Styela clava: one gene and its partners. The main gene of each other region encodes a partner of the protein of the gene in region 3 in a complex. Links are inferred from orthologs where the notes say so. Each region holds a gene or a part of one and is shown on either strand. Other genes may lie near its edges.

Region 1 (6,672 bases), on a different chromosome or scaffold from region 3:
AACGTGCGAACCCACGCAGAGTAATCAGAGGTGCGGTGGCGAGCGTATTCATAAGCCTTAGCCTTAGCACGATGAGCCATGTTAATAGGTGTCGAAAGATTCTGGGTGTGTACAGAAGGATTCTAAGGGTTCATTTGCCAAAAAAGTTAATTTGTTTAGCTTGCATTTATTCGTTTATTTTCCACTACCGGTAGCTGATCGGTGCATCAGCTCACAGCAGATCAAAATTGAAGCGCGCGCGCAATAAGTGTGGTTTTATTTCTTCGACTTGAAAATCACCAGGGATGAGAATCTCGCTGCGCGAACAATCCTTGTGTTTTGTTTTTGCTGTTCACAAATCACCGTGAACAACCAACTATTTAGAGCTGAAGTTTACGAACGAAATTTACTATTTCGATAATTAAGTTCAAGCACGATAACAACTTCGATGGAAGAACCTTAGCGCTGAGGGCGAATCTATCCTAAACATTATAAGACGTCGCAGTGATAAGAAAAAATACGTTTTTTACCACGGAATACCTCACCACGATGACGACAGCTTCAACAAAAAGATATACCCCATCTCAACTAAGGACTCCTTTAGGTCAAATAAAAATGCAGAAAAAAGAAATTTGGTGAAGAATGTACCTGTAAGACCATCGCGTACCACAGTTTGGGAATCACTGATCTACATGAATCAACTAGTAATAGTAAATAACACAGATTTTTGTGCAATTTATGTATGATTTTAGACGCACACAAATCTCCCAACTACATGCCTCAAAAATGTCCCTTCAAGGACTTGTATTAATTATCAATATTAATTGTATGAATATCACTGCATATAAACACTCTATCTCAGTGATTCTCAAACGGTGGGGCGCGCCACACAAGGAGGACGTAGACAATTTTTTGAGAGGACGTGAAGCCAAATAAAAATATTACTTAGATTTGATCTTGCCCGCCTTATTTTGTATATTTAAATTTCAAAACTTTCCATTTATTTCATTATTTAAGTTCCATCCAAGTATTTTTTGAATAAAACATACTTTCGCCTTACTATCTGTTATTTGTAGCTTATTGTTAGCTAGCTATTTTTTGAGGTGGGGCGCGAGATGTGACAAATTCTGAACCACTGTTCTAACGCTTTGCCTAAGTATTACATATGTTCTCACTCAGAATTTCATTTGCTCACTTAACCCTAAGTCATGACAGTGAGATAGGTGTAGCAAAATGGAACACCACATTTTCAGACACCACTAAATGACCACTTGTTACAAAAATCACAAAAAACATCAATGTCAAGTACATAGACTGGTGTAAAGTGGTATTTATTTTACAAAATTGCAAGTGGATGATGCATAAATAGAAAAGAGCAGTATTGTAGTAGCTCGATTCATTGACTCGAGTCACCCTATAAGAGCGAGAGATTTATTATTTAGTCAATCGAAAAATAGAGGCCCAATTGGCACAGTTCTGTTTCAAGTCACCATATAACAGCGAGAGAGAGAATATTATTTTGTCCAAAAAATACAGTCATCAATAAGATAGCAACAGCAATAAAATTGTTTTGGTATGGACAGGAGGGAGTGATATGCCCATACGGTCATAGAGGTCAGCTTTCACCTGAACAGTGATTAAAGTCATTCGAAATAAATGATTCGTCCCAAACTTCCAACTAACCATCAGTGAAACATAGCTCAGTGATCGACTCAGATGACCCATGACCTGCAACTCGAAGTTTTGGGACTTTCTTCCAACACTGGTGGTAAGAGTGAGTTGTGTGTGTTCAACAAAATATCAGTGTTGAATGAGACAATATATAAACTTTATATCCAACCAAAAAAATAGCATGGACATCATATTCAAAACAAGAAATAAATTTTAATCGCATCATACATAATTCACACATTGACTCAGTCGAATTCTACTGTGAGGTTCTTAATTAGCATATGCAAATAAATAACTTTTTCGAGATTAGGCATTTCGACCGGTTTGTTACCCTGTCCGGTTTGTTACCCTAGGAGTCATTCCAGAGTCAGAAACCTATGCCTTTACCTAATGTTTCTACATAAATTTAAAATATAAACATATGAAAAAATTGGGTTTCATAAGCACAGAAATTCAGCAGAAACAGAAAATAAACTAGTCAGTAATCAAATATACCGCCCAAAACCTTTCTGATGAAACAAGGATGATGCCACATTTTAAATTATACTAAGTAAAAGTGAATATTCGATGAATTCAGAATTTATATGTTCAGAGTAGGTAGTAGTTATCTTAAAAATATTCTCCAATTTAAATTCTGAATGGCTATTTCATAATCAATTCAAATTGCTAATAAAGAATTGAAACTAATAAACATTTTTATAGTTTATCCCACTGCCCACGTTTCTGAATATGGATGAATTTACCTTAATATCATAAATATTATATTGAAATCTGTCAGAATAGACGATCACTTAGTTACAAGTAATTCAAATATGAACATTCATGATGACAGATTTTTTAATACTGACAACTTCGACAATCCGAAATATGAGAATAATCACAAAATGCCAAACATATCTTTGCAGAAATATTCATTCATTCACCTGGTATGTGATTTTACTTCATTTGCATTCTTAAAATTAAGTTTTTTGAACATACATTTCATATACATATTATTGAGACATTTTGCCACAGTTTATTTTTGTAGAATCTTAGAGATACCAGAGACATCAATTAAATAAATTTGAAAACGAAATTTGGAACCCTTTTCTGGGGTGAACACAAACATAATGTTTGAACAACAGATATAATATTGACAGTTTGTCTTGACAACTCTTGACATTTTCAATACCTGGCAAAAGGCCAAACTTATCGTCGCAGATTACTGTAAGTTTGACTGATTTTACGCCCTTTGCTATTGGGAATAAACAATACTTGCGCGGAAAAAAATTAAAAAAAATAATAGAACATGTACCTTAATAAAGTGCCTTAAAAAAACATGAATGCTTTGGCAAAACACAATACTCCTGTCCCATGTGAAAATAATTTGTCAAAATTAGGCAATTTGTGGCAGCCTACTCTAAGAGACACTGGTAGAAAACCATACTTTTGTGAAATATGTAGAAATAGATTTTGGTGTAGTCCCTCACACATATTAAAACAAAGCTATTTTTTAATATATTCCGTTCACATATAAGTATTCTTGAGCTCGCTTTGAAACAATTTAAAAGAAATTAATATCTGTATTTTGTTGAATAATCTTTAGGAGAAACGACAAGACCTCTGCCTTTCCTTGCTCCTCTGTAAACAGTTTCCAAAATGTCGATCATTTCTCGTTTATCTTCCATAGGCCAATTAATTTTATTATTATTACCGGTTCCCAAATCAATCATAATGTGTTTATTTCTATAGAAAAACATAGTCGTACAAGGGTCGTACAATTCATACATTTTGTTGAAGTCCGGTACTTTTGTGATATCCACTAAATAACAAACGGCGAAGTTTTTGACTTTGTCAGCGATGCTGTATAACGTTTCATCCATCTTCATGCAGGCTGGATCCCAATCATGCCCGAATCTAATGACAACAACTCTCTCTTGTTCACTCAAGATTGCCTGGTCTACTTGCCAACCATTTGTTAAATGAGGAAGCATATAAGACATATTGCTCGAAGTTTTTTACGCTTGGAGGTCCAGAAAATTTAACTATGCAGTTCAGAGACACAAAAATGATGAATTTCTTTATATTTGCTCTGCTTTTTATTGATATTAAACTAGAAAAACCTAGGAAGAAACAAAAATATGCATTGCCTAAAAAAAGGAATAACGGAAACGCATAGAATGTCTCAAGCTTCAAATCTGATACCGGTACCTACTCCTGTATTATAGAATCTGTGTTCTGCAAAACATGATATATCTGCCTATTGAATAATGCCAATTTAATTTATCAAAATTTTTAACAATGACAGTACCGTACCGGTACTGCAGTTTGCACTACCGGTAACCAAATACAAACCACACCCTATCAAAATGAGAGAGAATATCGCACCAAGAATCTTGTCTAGCTAAAAAATGATTAAAATTACAAATTGCAGAGTAGGCAGACATTTCATCAATTATCATACAGTCATACCAGTTCACCAGTATTAGTTTCCTTACCGGTACACAAAAGATAACAGGCAGAAGTTACGACGTATCTAAAACGTTCTGAATTTTTTAGTCCATCCAATATCGTCACTCGGGGTCGCCATTTGTTTCATACGGGCGAGCGCAGTATTTTCTCTTTGGTGTCATTATTCTCTGTGGTGTCATCCTAAAACCAGAACTTGTGAAATCAAGTATTCTTCTAGGCACATCGTTTTTTAACGTATTTTTCTACCAAAGTTTGAGTTTTATTTGTATTCGAATAAATGTTCACATATAGGGACATGTAAAATTCGGCCAATAACTGATTTTTCGCTCCGACTATTGCCATATTATTCCATGATTAATTTTCGACATAACTTTTTATGCGTTGCTTTCAGAATGAAATATGTTAGTTCAAGCCGATATCTTGGTTTCCATAAAACAAAGGGAAATACTATTACACAATTTATGGTTAATCATTCACCCGTTTTTTCAGTAATTAAAATATTGCTAGAATATGGCAATGCTGAGTACAGAATCAGCCACTCGTGAAATTTAAGACACATCATAAAAAAAACTATTTCACAATGTTTAATAATGAGATTATACAAATTTGGTATAATTGAATCCACAACTTATATTAAAAAACGAACACTATTGTGACTCGTCAAGTTTGGCAATTGCCTGCTTCGCCATGGAAGTTGTCATAATTTTTAGGTATATTTTTCGTCATATCTTTTATATGTTGCCTTCTCAATGAAATATTCTTCGTACGTGTATACCATGACTGAGATTATAAAAAAAATCCGCTTTCACTATGAAGGAATTTCCATTAACCATAAGTAATCTAGTCGCATTTCAATTTGATCGCCAGCTGCCGCTTTTCGACCGGGCCTATCTTGGTTTTCTCGTTCTTTCCAGTTCTTTGGAAATAGCCGTAGTGTAGGCGCAGTTAATGTCTTTTGCGACAAAATCATGGGCACTAACCACTAGTTTACGATCAATCATTTTATTTCATCCTCGTGGCATGAATTAAAACAACACAAATCGAACTTTCGAAGCCGAGTTTTTGCCTACCGTTTTATCTCAGGCTGTTCTAACTATCGGATTCAGTTATTCAACAAGCAGTCAGCATCAACTTTAGACAAATTACCAGACAAAATGAAGCGTTGTATCGTAATTGTTAAGATCGTCCTAAATGAAGTCCACAAAGTAATCGACACCGCCTATCTATTTTCTTGACCGTGTTGACTTGAACTGCGTCCCGCGCCAGCGCGCATTCACTGACCACCATACCTCCAAAGCTCCTGGTCGCCCGTTTCTTTGAATATTTAATGGACGAAATACCAATGATACCGCAATCTTTATGGCAAAAGAAGTTAAAATTGGGTTTCTTTTGTACAAAGACCCCAACAAAAATCACCCCCACCAACGATTAAAATAAGGAAATTAGTAATTATCCGCTGGGGGTTTGGGTTAGGAATGCAAATTACCCAGGAAATTTAGATATTCGAATCAATTCTGACCCCAACCTCCATATCATATTATTCACACGTTGCGGGGGATTTACTCAAATCTCACATTTTTGCATTAGTGGCCGGGGCTTTGTAAAAATGATTCAAGATTAGTTCGATGGTTATTTTAATATTACCAAACGCTTCATAACATTACAGTCCGTTAATATGATGATATTTATTTGAATTTTTAAATGAAACGTTTTGCAGTTTTGTACACTATGTAAAAATAAATTATTAGACATTGGGAAACCACAGAAAGCACTAATGTCTGGTAATGCAAATGTTTTGCCTTGTAATACTCGACGATCGAAGAATTCCTCGAAAGAAGCAAAAAAGTTCACGTAGGCACCATAAATACGGAAAAATGGTTTAAAAACCGGGCCTAGATTCGTATCCTGACTCGTCACACGATCAAGTCGTTCCATCGGTTTTCATCTCCACCGTGATAAATATTTAAAAAAAAAATCGAAACAAAGAATGCAAAAGAATTGTCGTATAACTAATTACTCAACATCTCACATATTGACCAGAAATAAAAGATAGACAATGGATAAACAATAGTACGCTTATCCTACGCGTTTCAGCTAACAGCAACTAAATTAAAAGGGTTATGACTGTTCCGTGAGTCTTGACTGAAATGTATCCGGATCTTAACAAGATGATGGAACTGTACTTAACCATCTGCTTCATTGGACTTTCAACGCGATTGGAAAAAAATAACATTTTAATTTTTCGTGGATTTATAGTGGAAGTTCGGTAGTGGGCTCTGCTATAAAGACTGTCAAAGACAAACAAACTTGACCCCAATAAAATTCAATTTGCGCGGCGTTGTGGGTTATGCTCATTTAACAACAGAAACGATATCTTGCACACTAAAAACAAAAAGAGAAAAATGATCATAACTTTTGTTTTGTGCTACCCGCGACATTTAAAAATAATTTTTATACCTATACGCTATTTTAGACAATGCAAAAATTTCGCGTGCTCACGATACGCATTATGCGCAGTTTACCACCGGAAACGACATATCACGTAAAGATGAAAAACAGTTAATTGCGCGC
Region 2 (6,672 bases), on a different chromosome or scaffold from region 3:
GAAACGCTGCTATGATCATAAAAAACAACAATGATTATTTAAAAAAAACTTCCTATACTCACCAAATACTACATGCTTTTTGTCAAGGAACTCACAGTTCGCACAAGTAATAAAGAACTGACATCCATTTGTATTAGGTCCGCTGTTGGCCTGATCAAGCAAATGAAAGTGCATAAATAAGATTTCGCTTAGAACCAGCATAAAGTTTAGAACCAGCATAAAGCACATATTTTTAGAAAGTTGAAAACCGAACGGATGATACTTTTTATAATAAAAATGAAGCAGTGATACATCTCTTGAATAGAAGATAGATTTATTTCCTCATTGCATTGCATTTTTGGCGCAATTGAACCCTTTGCACTTAGCATCAACTTTTCTGCGTTTTGTTGCCATTTGTCTGATTATAATTGAATTATAGGCTCATTAAACAGGTAGTTGTGAATTTTACAATTGTTTGATTGTAATATAATTTAGTCTATACACGTCTCACAATGAATTGTGTAACGTAAAAAATATAATCGTCAAAATAGCTGTTTTGTTACTATAATTCAGTGAAGCGCCGCGGGCCGGATTATGTTACTCGTAGGTTGTCGACCCCTAGTTTAGGGAAATCACTCTTTTGAAAGTGGTGTTATGTGAAAACTAATGTGTTCTTGAACCCCTGTTTGCAAGAAATATACACGTATACTCGTTTAGCGACTTCCGCTATTGACTAACTCAAACCACCACCCGACAAAGCACAAAACATGTTAAGCAAATCGCATGAGTAATCATACACCACGAAAATCCTTTCTTTTTATTATGTGGATGATATTGAAACTCACCATTGATAGCAATCCTGGTCCTGTATGCTTTTCTTTAAAATTTTCATCTGCAAATTTGATGCCATTATATATGCTTGTGAGGCCTGTCCCATCTCCCTGGAAATATGGATTGGACATTAATGGTTATCAAGGAGGAAAACAAAGTTGATGTGAGGACCAAAGCCTGCAATCTTGGATGTGAGGATGGTCTTTGTCCTGTAGAATTTACTCAATGCAAAGATATGCTCATCAACTCAAAAGAAAAATATTTTCTGAACATTTTTGAGGACCAAATATCTGAAATATCAAATAACAGGAAAAAATATTGAGGAAATATACAATTTCAGCAGGTGGTAGAACAGGGGTGCCCAACCTATGGCGCATGCGGCAAACATGGCGCATTGCATGATTAGAGGTGGCGCATTGCATCTTTAACCCTTTTCATGCCAAAATTGTTAATTGCACTTGGCTTCTCGACGCCAAGTCGTTTTTTTGCGATTTACATGGTGACTTTTGATTGTACCTAAAATCTATTCTCCTTACTCCACGTCGCCCACTTAAGGCTTGTTGGAATTAGAAACAACAGGCGATTATCGACGTTAGCTTTTGGACGGACTTTATGACATTCATTCTAGACTTTTAGCAAAAATTAGTAAAATTTACTATTTTTTCCCTACTGAAGTAAAAAGTTCAGAACTTCTGGAAAAATAGAAAATCGTCATTTATCAGCTTGAAACATGGATTTTCCTTTGCCCAGACTTCCCAAATATCTCCCAATAACCATTGAACAACCAGTTGAATTGCCCAAGCCTAAAAAATTTATTATAAATCAACCCACAACAATGCTGAAAATGCCCCCTAAATACCACCTTTTTCATACAAACTTCAAAAGACCGTTGTCAACAAAAGCGAAGCGTAAAATCGCTTGCTGTGACGTAAGTACTAATCTCGAAGAAGCCTGGAGTAAAATCACGCAACGCTAGGCCAAACAGCTGATTAGCAGAGGCCAATTAGAATCGAGGGTAGAGTAGAGTAGATATTGATACTAAAGGCCTGTTGCAAGAAGCGGACATTAGGCGTGGGAATACAAGAGATTTACGGCGCATCTGAAACATTATGTTTAAAACGTGGCGCATGGTATGTGAAAGGTTGGCCACCCCTGTGGTAGACAGTAGTGATATCCATAACTTTGATAAGACATTAGTCTCGTTTACCTCTTAGTAAATGAGCATAATCATTGACTTCTGGTCGTTCTCCACGACCATGTTACTCACAATAATTGGGTTTTAAGTGACTACATTAAACATAAATTCGGCCACATAAATTTATCCAAAAAACTAACTAAAATGCATTCCCACCTTTACAAAATCACCTCCCTGAACCATGAAATCTTTAATAATTCGATGAAAAGTTGCTCCTTTGTAACCGATAGGAATCCCATCTACTCTAAATAGAATTAGAAGTAATGTGATTTACATAAATTATGAAAAGATAATAAATAATAGAGTAAAAACTGTATCTCGAAAATTACAACTTCAAATAGAAATGCAACAAAACCCTTTCCACAAATGCATCTTATTGAAAATTAGGGTTCTATTTTTACTAATATTGCGGCACGAAATGGCATTACATCAGCCCAGTCAGTTTCTTTTCTGTCGTAGTCGGTGCTCACTGCTAAGCTAAGGCTTTACTGGTGCACTAAAGGTACCGGTTTACTAATGCAAACTGTTAGGTCGTATTCGATTTGCAACTTTGATTTGAAGCTTTTGAATAATTATATCAGGGTGGTCCAAGGTTGTTGGCTCCGCGGGCCACAATATTATTTTTGCATTGTTCGCGGGCCACAATAGTGCCAAAAATAGGTAAACAGTGCAATACAAAATAAACACTTTTATTGTGCAAACACATAGTTATCAGGCATAGCCATTCTTAGCTAATAGAATCTGCAGTTGATTTTTAGTTTTCTATGATGCATATATTGTTAGCATATATTCCCGACCAAAAAGTTAGAAAGCCAGATAACAATTTAGACTGCCAAGCACGTCACTCAACTTCGCTAGTTTCCCCTGCTAGCCATAACACTATTTAATTCAGTGACATCAGTGATGACAATATGTCAAAAGATTTTTCTGATTAATTTTATGACGAAACAACACAAAATGCGATTTTTTGATTACTCTCCGAATGTGACACGGGCCACAGATAATGAAGCGGCGGACTACATGTGGCCTGCGGGCCTGGGTTTGGACCACCCTGAATTAGATAATGATTTCAGTGGGAGTCATTGGACCTTTGTGTCCATCACTGTCCACATTCTTGAGTATTGTAATTGATTTCAAATCGAATCAAAATTTGATTTGTGTTGAATAACCTTGCTTTCTTTTATTACTTGGACTTACTTGTATTCTCCTGTACAAAATTGTCTAAAATTTTCCGCAGTATTTGGCACGACATCTTTGAATAACTCCATTTTCATTCGACCTACATCCTGGAAAAGATGATAGAATAGTCTTAAAAACAATATATAATAGGACTACATACTTTTCTTGAAAGCTCTGAAAATGGCACTAGACCAGTGGGGCGCACCCCACAAGGGGACGTGGACAATTTTTTGAGGAGGCGTAAAGCTAATTATAATAAAAATAGTTGTTAGATTTGATCTCGCCTGTTATTGTTAGCTAGGTATTTTTGAGGTGGGCACGATACTTGACAAATTCTAGAAAGGGGGCGCGAGTTATAAAAGTTTAAGAACCCCTGCACCAGACAATGGCCTTTTCTATGGACAAAAACATGCTAAACACACACTATATAAAACTGGTAATATTACTAGACCAGGGTTTATCAAGCTGGGACTGTTAAAAGCAAAACTAGATTTTTTATAAAAGAGGTAGAGTCTATTTGTATTTTCACTCACCTGGCCACTAATAGAAATATCAAAAAACACAATGGGATTGCCTGGAGTCCTCACACTCATTTTGGGATACAATCCGCCAATACAAATATATAAATAGTAATATTAACTGAAATTAATAAAACATACCGATGATAAAAATGATCGAATATTGATGATTACCAATGATGAGTATCAATTTTATATGTTGAATTACCAAATACTTTTGACATCCACAGAAAAAAGTATAAATCTAGGACGGGGATTGTGCAACCTTTAATAACACAGAAGAGCCAGATACAAATAACTGGGTGAAACCGTGGACCGCACCTTTATTTAACATAGGCTTTCTAGTAGTTGTAGGCACAAAAAGTTCGGTTTTTAATCCTATGAAATACGTTGTTCGCTTCGCACAAACTACCTGTTAGGGCATTACAATGTCATAGGCACAGATAATAAATTGGAATCAGGTATAGACTTCCATCGCAAAGGAATTGGAATTACTAGAATATGATAAGATAGATATACAGTATTATCCATTCAACAACTTGATGCGAGGTTAAACACCAATTTAAGGCAAAAGGGATTACAATAGGCAGGACAACTCCAATAAAACAGTCACAATAGCATGCAAATAATCTCATATATAGCATGAATAAATTATACAATGAACTTATGAAATTAAGTACTGATACTGAAACCAAATCTTGGTGATATCTGGCTATCATTTTAAATAATCAAAATGACAAAAAAAAATGAGTAATTTAATCACCGTACACCATAAAAGTCACATAAAATTTGACAAGTCATCGCCCAATTCCATATGCACACACTTATAACATAAAAATGCTATTTTTAGTCTTTTATAGTGGAAATATTTAAACATCAGTCCTCTCCTAGTAAAGCAAACTTATTTTGCACAGAGAACCCTTTACCACCGTCCCCATGTTCATGAGAAGATTCGGACTCCTCGCCACTGCTTGAATCTTGAGTATCGTGCTCAGAACTGGCTATTTCTGGGTGAGAAAACATTTGATGAAAACTTAATATATCGCCAACACTGCCAGGATCTGAGACCAGACTCAAAAGTTTCAACGTTTCAGAATTAGCCATCCAAGATTTTTCTTCCTTGACATATCCTGGGGGCAACATGAACAAACATAACCTTCCATCAACAGCCATTCTTAAAATATTATTCGCTGCACGATACACATCTGTACGCCGTCCTTTCGCTGTATAAAACCTTCGTTTTTCCGCCCATCCTTCACAAATATCCCAAGCTGTCCACTCTGATTCACCATTAGGGTGGGTGATGCCTAATAGCTTTACAATCGGAATTCTTGATGCTAAATACCCCACAGGAGTATAAGGTTCTTGTACTTGCGCAATTGGGTAAATTCCACTCAAAATTTGCATTTGTTTTTGCACAAGTGATGGAAATACAAGACCAGGGCAATCACATAGCATTACGTCACGAGTTAAAAAGTACGTTTGGAAATATTTTGTGTGTCCTGGCGTTACTGAAGTACTCACAACTTTCTTTCCAATAAGGCCGTTCATAAGCGATGATTTTCCGACATTAGGATGACCCACAAACCCAAGAGTAAGTCTGCCATTTTTAAACAACTCTTTACTTTCTGGACCTTGTTCAGAGGTTTGATGTTCTTCTTCAATATTCATCTCTGGTTCAAGGTCACAATTTAGACCTTCAAGGTCATTCAATATTTTCTGTTCCCAGCTCTCAAGATTAACTTTGTCTCCGCAAATTTTTTTGCAAACTTGTAGCAGATCTTGCGGACCTATTTGCGTGGTATAAACACGTTTTCCAACAGGTCGTTTTTTACTAATTCGCTTTTCCGCAGCGTCTCCTCGTAAATTTTTTGGGAACGAAGTAAAAGTTATAACATGCAGCTCAGGAAATTTCTTTTCAAAGTATTTTTTCCAGGCAATCACAACAGGAGCTGGAACCAGATCGATTTTATTTAAAACCAGTATTAAAGGTTTTTTGACAACATGAATGGCGAAGTTGTACAATGCGGGAGAAAAATGGAGCACTGGATGCCTTACATCAGCGACCATTGCTATGACATCGCTCATCTCAATCACACGCCAAAGTTGCCGCCACGTTTCCAAATTGTGTTCAAAATAACTGAGATTTTTGTCTTCAAACTTGGAGTACAGATTGTCAAGATATGTTGAAAAATATTTTTCCTCACGTTGCTCTAATAATTGTTTTGAATCACGATAATCCCAATGTGGCCGCTGAGGCATGTCCAATTCCGAACCAGGTTGATAAACCTCTTCTATACTCATTTCCATTTTTTCCGGTGGAATCGGAATGAGCAATTCCGTCTGTGATTGCAATTTACGCTTGTCGACTTCATCCCTCGATTCTCGAAGAAAATTCAGTCGATACCTGTCTCTCGGATTCGTACTTTTCGTCGCTTTACCGTGAATATTCCGTCCAGTTTCAAATGCATGGGGATTCCCATCTCCAGAAGAACAGTCGGAATCGTACTTCTCAATTTGATCTTGTAATTTCCATGCTTCTTTGTTTTCTGATCGGGTCAATGACCCTTCACCTCTATGTTTTTTTTCCTGAAGTTGTTTCTTTTTTTGTTTTCCACTAAATGGTTTCTTTTTCGGCATTGAAAGGTAGACTACAAGACTGCGATAAAAAGATATAGTTAGCCAGTTATTTGTTTTCGGAAGCATGGACCTGATGGTGGAGAAAGCCATAACCGACCAGCGGTTACGTGAACCACCCTAAGGCAGCGAAGAGATAGAGAAGATAAATTATTACGAACTTCGTCATGGTGCAAATAATTACAATACACAAGCCAAACACAGTGCGGAATATCAGGAAAGTTACCAAATCTTCAAACAAGGTTTAAATAATGAGACATAATAATTATTGGGATAATTGAGGTGGTGGAAATGTTGAACTATTGAATATGGCGTGGGGGCGTTGCTCATCGT
Region 3 (6,672 bases):
ATTTTTACTGTGATATAACTATCAAAAATTCGGGTCTCGTGTAGTTTTGTACCTCAAGTTCTTCTAGTGGGCGAAGCATAAAGATTTTTGCACATCTCAATCCTAACCCCCACCGTCGTGATGATGTAATTTTCGGATGACATAGTCAGGTGGGGGTTAGGATTAACATAATGAAGAAATTGTTATGCTACGCCCACTAGAAGTCCTTCAGGTACGAACTACACTAGACCCAAAAACTCTTAGTCAATCTAAGCCACTCATGTATGGTTTTTAAAAGAATGAATTTTTGAGATCCTACCACTCCAAGTTTTCTTTTCAAGTCTGAGAACATTTGTTGAATTTTTGGTCTTTCTTCACGAAATTTTTCCAGTTCTTCTCGTTCCCTTTCCTCTCTATATTCCTTCCTTCTTTCGTCCATTCTCCGATCGAGATGATCATAAACAGCATCTGCTTCCTCATCGTCTTTCTCGTAAGGAGCAGATGCAAATAAATTTCCTCCATATCCAGTAAACTGAAATACAGATTGTGTTTTAGAAACAGGAGTATAATAGAGTCGTTACTCGTTACATAAAATATATTAGGACAAGTTAGGTCGCGTTTTCTTTTTTACTTAAATAATTCCTCTGTGGTTCTCTGTGTGTGTGGTGGGTGCGTGTGTGAAATAGTTTAATAATTTTAGGTGGGTGAACACATACCAATTCTTCTTGGCAAAACCTTCCATCTTATATTTTGTATGTTTTAAACCTTATCTAAGGTTTTGTTCGCTCTCCTGATTCCACAATCATTTTTTTTATTTGTTTTTATCAATCATTTTATTGTTATGCTGATTAAGGAGTCGAAATAAACTTATATAAAACGTTCAAGGTGTCAATAAAACATGCAATTTGCAGACGTTTTGAATTTCCATACAAACAAAAACTTCATCATAGCATAATATGTAAAAGTGATAACGTCTACATATATCATCGTAGTAAATTCAAACTAGTTTATGTCTTATTTTCTAGAAATGGATTTTGTTAGTCTGTAAAAGTTTCAACTGCAACAATACTTATAGAATAGGACTTACAGTACATATATATCCCGAGGAATAGGGAAGCCATAAGACAGACTAATCATATGGCATACCACAGCCTCTCGTCCGGTTACCAGTCCATGTTCGGAAGGAAGCCAGCAATCCTTCTCACACATAATCAACCCGCATGGCATGGGATTCGTACCTACGAACCCACGCAAGGTTATCAGAGGTGCAGTGGCGAGCGTAAACCTAATGCTTAGCACGCCATAATGCGTCATATAGCGATAAATGGATTTTTCATATTTATTTCAGGAAAGAATATAGTTGATAAGACAGCTCAACCATGTGTCAGATCACATCCTCTCGTCAAGCTACCAGTCCATGTCTAATATGGGAATAGTTAGCCATTTATTTGATAGCGGAGAAAGCCATAAACGACCAGTGCATTTTGAGTTTGTATCTCAGGTAAACATTTGAAAAAAAAGAAGGTGCTACCGTAGTATGTGAACCAAGATGGTGGACACCTGAACAAGTTAGGGTTAGGCAATAATTTTATGCCAATTTTCCTTATTTGAATTCTATTATGATTTCGGTGACCAGCCAAGTGACTACCGTAGTATTTGGACTTGAAATTATGGCACAACCCTAACCTGGTACACATATTACGTTATAGTGTACGCCATCTTGGTTCACATAGGGAGTGCCAAAAAGAAAGCAATTATTTCAATTGCTACCTCATCATAATTTGAGTCATTGAGATCTTCTTCTTCATCCTCTGGTTTCTTTGCTTTCATTTGATCTCCGAATGTTCGCTGGCCAGGAGGGGCATGGCGGTCATCTGTTGGATCGCTAACATCTCTAGCTGGACCAATATCAGATCTCGTAGTGAAACCTGTAGCTCTGAAAATATGATATAAAAGTTGTGAAAATAATTCATCTTTTTTTTATCAATGTTGAAGATAAAAAGTAAAAAAATTGAAAATGGGAATCCAAATGTTCCCAAAATTAAATATTTTATATCACGGAAGTTAACCAATTCCAAATAAATTATTTTGTACATTTCCGCTTAAGCCTTGAATGAAATTATCATTATCCTTGAAAAGATATTGTGTGTGACAGGAGTACGCAGGCCATGTAATCTGCAGATATTTTACATCGGGTCTTGTGTAGTTTCGTACCTCAAGTACTTCCAGTGGGCGTAGCATAATGATTTTTGCTCATGTCAATCCTATTCCTAACCCCAACCTGACTACACCATCCATAAATTATGTCACTACAACATTACATTCATGTCATACAGCTTGCAAAATTGTATGTACCATCGCTCAAAATGGCGTCAGCGCCAGGTGATAACAAACTCATTAACCCTATCAATCTCTCTCATATGAGGATTTTTGACGAGAAAAGGAGGGAACGTATATGACGTAACCCTCTCGATTTTGGGTGATCCCCAGCACATTCTGGACAGCTGCCCGAATATTTCGGCGGGCCTTATTACGTCACTGTGCCATCATAGTGATGTCACTCAGGATGACATAGTTAGGTGGGGGTTAGAAATGACATATGCGAAAACTGTTGAGCCATGCCTACTAGACATATTTGCACTATTAAACTATACAGGACCCAAAACAAGAATTGTAATAAAAAACAGGGAATTGTTTGCCACACCATTTTAATAACTTTATAGAAGTTGAAAAATTGAATATAGATTTTGTAAATAAGAGTAATCAATCAATCATTTATTTCGGTACTCTGACATAAAAACAAAACAAAACAGTAAACAATATTTATCATGATGTAAAAAAAAAGATTTCGTCGGGCTGATTATAGTCCAGTAGTTGTAGTGTAACTGTATAACTGACTGTTTAATCAGTGGTGGAATTCAGGGGGCTCGTGCGAACCCGTCCTTGGAGTGTCAAGATAATCAGCAAATTCGTTCTTGTTTTTTCAAAGCATAGTTTTAAGTTTGCATAGTTTTTCAAAATGGTGTTAGCAAGTTCTACGGTCTGACGGTACGCAATACAGGCCTGACCACACCAGCTAAAAATTACGTCACTACGAAGTCACAGTGACGTAATAGAGCCCTTCAAATTATGCGAACTGTCATCCAAGACACGCAGACGAGAACCCGAAATCGAACAGCCATTGCTCTTGTTTTCTCGTCCAGTCGTCGCAACGATCCCGATAGGAGAGAGACCCCAATACAGACAATAAAACCATTGGATATATTGGTTAAACTGTGAACTATTGAAACACACATACATGACGAATCATTCAATCATTAAAACAAACTGATGTCAATGCAATTAAATTAAAAACATACCCACGCCCGAGGCCAGGGACATATCCGGGGGGAGCTGGTTGCCCCAACCAAGGTTTCTTTTTTTTCTGTGTTTGTACAACGCCAGTTAACTCAGCCATTCAATTATTAGAATTGAACCTATTAGGTGCAGTATCTGTTCTATCTAAATTTCTGGAAGTAACAAAAAAATTAAATACTTAAATTCTGCCGTTTGCCTTTGTTGAGTAATCTTTCTTTTTTGTGCCAAATAAATTCCAATGACAAACGGAATTGAGACATCTTGCACACAGGTCGCAGTGCACCCCTCAGAATTCTCTTTTGAGCACTCCAACCTTTGAACCTATACTATCGCCCCACGAACTTTTCCAACCACAAGGCGGTTTGAGGAATGATTTTGTTTAATGTTCGCATTGATGGTAATATCAGAATATAACGGTATAAATACATTGAAAAAACAAAAAAAATGTGGAGTTATGACAATATAATTATAAGGTGTGCTGCTTCGATCATCGACTTTACATTACTAAAATGAAAGATGATTTGTTCGGAATTGCGAATGGTATCGTTCTCGGAATTTTATTTTCGACAAGAAAGTGGTGGTTATAAGCAGGAACAGATAAATTAAATACAGTGATTTTCTTCTGAAATATTCGAAGATGTTTCCATTCTAATATTGATGATTGTTTCCCACATGTATTATGGATTACTAATTATTTATTTACAATAAAAACTCCTAATCTTGCTAAATCGTCGGTGTGACGCGCATCGTGCTAAGCATTACACATGTCCTCTTAACTATTTACACATGCCCTCTGAACTATACAATAAATCTGATGTAAATTGTCGAATAGTAAAAAAAATTTATTTTAACAGCCGTCTCATTTTCTGTCTTTATTTTATAATTTCATATTGTCTACATAATCTGTACTGTTGTCCTTTTTAACATTGTTTTGTGGAAATAAAAATATTTCGCGTTACGAATACGCTCGTCACCGCATCTCCGATTACCCTGCGTTGGTTCGCAAGGTTCGAGTCCCATGCGGGGTTGATTATGTGCGAGAGGATTGCTAGACTCCTCACCGCTTTAGGGTGTAACCGGTTCGCCATATGATTAAGCCGTCTAATCGGCTTTCATCTTCTCCGAGATAAATGTGCAAATCCTATCCTAACTAGCAATATTGCTCAACAGCATTACCATTCAGCCGCCGAAATTTTAGTTGCGATAATTGAAATCCAATATTTTTCGGCTTAACAGATCAGGCGATGGAAACGCTCAAATCATTACGGTATCAACGAGCCCACAGGTGTCGTAAAAACATTTGTTTCTAATAATATGAAAGCAAATCAACAAAATTTCAAAGAATAGAACGCTGAATGATTTGCTAGGTAACATATGAATATGTTAATTAAATAGCATAACATTATTACAACAGTGATATCAATATTAAACTGAATAATACAAAGATTCTGTTATCGAATATTATTACTGTATAAGTAACGAAAATTCTCTGTCAAATGCGATATGTGACTTGCCCCAAACGTCAGCTACCATGCCTTTCTTTGAGTGTTGAATGGAATTACATATTCCCGTGACTCGGCGGTGGGCGCATCGTGCTAAGCGTTAGATAAACGATCGCCACTGCACCTCTGATTATCCTGCGTAGGTTCACAGGGTCAAATCCCACGGGAGATAGTTATGTGCGAGATTCTCTATTCCTCACCGGACTTTCGAATCACTGATTTCTTTTCCGGCTTGAATCAAATAATGTCAAATTATGTTTTTATCTGCAAGGCTTATGCATCAATTTTTATGTAATGCATTAGAAAGGAAAACGGACATATCAAAATTGTACAACTGAAATCTTGGTGGCTGAATTGTAAAGTATTCGATCAATATTATTAACAAGAGAACAATGCTCAAATATATCGACACGAAGTTCAACACGTACCGCAAACTGCCACAAGGTGAGCAATTTTCGATGACGAAATCGCACACAGAAACCGGTGCTCCCGAATTGGGTGCACAGGATGGCGCACAACCTGACCATAGTATATTGTGTACCAGGTTGGGGTTATCATGTTGTTGTTCGCCATCTTGGTGCACATACTTCTAGAGCGCCAAAAAACAAATCCCATAGAGCCCACAAAAATATTGAAATAAATTAAAAAAAATAGCCTTCTAGTGCAAAATACAATCTTTGAAAATTTTAAAGCATTTGGTCCAACAGTTAAATAGAAAGCGATTTTGACAGCAAAAAAAAGAAAAAAATACTAACAACATGATAATCAACAACAACATAATAACAAAACGATCTATAGGTCCATTTCGTGTCCAATAAACCGACAAGAAGATTTCAGCTTAAATAAGTAATTAGTAATCCTTAAAACATGTGAGAAACAGTCATTAATAATAGAATAAAAGCATCTTCGAATATTTAACAAGAGAGCTATGCTCAAATATATGGACACGTAGAGTCACATAATTTTGATGACGTCATAGCGAAAAAAAGTAATAGCCTTCTGGAGAAAATTTTTATCTTTAACCACTAAAAATTTCAAAGCAATTGGTCCAGTATTCGAAGAGAAAAGCGACTTTTTAAAAACGTGTCAAGCGGTACTGAGTTAGCAGTCAGGCAGCATCTTACCTGTACACTGTAGGCCATATACGGTAATTGATCACAGAACAGTTGTTCCCTTGCAAATTTTATGTTGTTTACACTTTAGGACAGATAATTGATCACAGAACAATTCTTCCCTTTCAAATTTTATGTTGTTTCCAGTAGACTCTCATCAAAATAAACAAATATAGTAGGCTACAAGTGCTACAACGCTTGCATTACTGCACTGGTAGGACCGTGAAAGAATAAGTTACGGTAATTTCATTGTGGTAAGACACCGGTACCGGCACCAGTACCAGTATCGTACTTACGTACTGAGCTACCAGTACCGGTTAGCAGTCAGCCAGCATCTTACCTGTACACTGTAGGCCATATACGGTACCGTAATTGATCACAGAACAGTTGTTCCCTTGCAAATTTTATGTTGTTTACACTTTAGGACAGATATTTGATCACAGAACAATTCTTCCCTTTCAAATTTTATGTTGTTTCCAGTAGACTCTCATCAAAATAAACAAATATAGTAGGCTACAACGCTTGCATTACTGCACTGGTAGGACCGTGAAAGAATAAGTTACGGTAATTTCATTGTGGTAAGACACCGGTACCAGTACCAGTATCGTACTTACGTACTGAGCTACCAGTACCGGTACCGAACCTGTAGGTCTGATATTCCGTTCCGCATACGATAGGCTATAAAACTTGCATTGCAGCATTAGTAATACTGCGGAAGGAAT

What was found.
Region 1: pre-mRNA-processing factor 6-like (region 3) and thioredoxin-like protein 4A share a complex: the UniProt entries of both Homo sapiens proteins name them as parts of the U4/U6-U5 tri-snRNP complex. The link is inferred for Styela clava from reciprocal best matches to the Homo sapiens genes PRPF6 and TXNL4A.
Region 2: pre-mRNA-processing factor 6-like (region 3) and peptidyl-prolyl cis-trans isomerase H-like share a complex: the UniProt entries of both Homo sapiens proteins name them as parts of the U4/U6-U5 tri-snRNP complex. The link is inferred for Styela clava from reciprocal best matches to the Homo sapiens genes PRPF6 and PPIH.

Annotation. Positions count from the first base shown.
Region 1 is NC_135251.1:10,686,571-10,693,242, reverse strand, and holds thioredoxin-like protein 4A, read right to left. Parts: upstream 3,759-6,672; 5' UTR 3,633-3,758; coding exon 3,204-3,632; 3' UTR 1,281-3,203; downstream 1-1,280. UniProt on the Homo sapiens protein: Plays a role in pre-mRNA splicing as component of the U5 snRNP and U4/U6-U5 tri-snRNP complexes that are involved in spliceosome assembly, and as component of the precatalytic spliceosome (spliceosome B complex).
Region 2 is NC_135258.1:4,509,602-4,516,273, reverse strand, and holds the start of peptidyl-prolyl cis-trans isomerase H-like, read right to left. Parts: upstream 3,904-6,672; 5' UTR 3,778-3,903; coding exon 3,718-3,777; intron 3,292-3,717; coding exon 3,203-3,291; intron 2,250-3,202; coding exon 2,162-2,249; intron 921-2,161; coding exon 825-920; intron 151-824; coding exon 63-150; intron 1-62. Other genes in the region: guanine nucleotide-binding protein-like 1, read right to left, coding at 4,579-6,408. UniProt on the Homo sapiens protein: PPIase that catalyzes the cis-trans isomerization of proline imidic peptide bonds in oligopeptides and may therefore assist protein folding. Participates in pre-mRNA splicing.
Region 3 is NC_135256.1:6,263,308-6,269,979, forward strand, and holds the start of pre-mRNA-processing factor 6-like, read right to left. Parts: upstream 3,517-6,672; 5' UTR 3,437-3,516; coding exon 3,339-3,436; intron 1,916-3,338; coding exon 1,750-1,915; intron 512-1,749; coding exon 299-511; intron 1-298. UniProt on the Homo sapiens protein: Involved in pre-mRNA splicing as component of the U4/U6-U5 tri-snRNP complex, one of the building blocks of the spliceosome.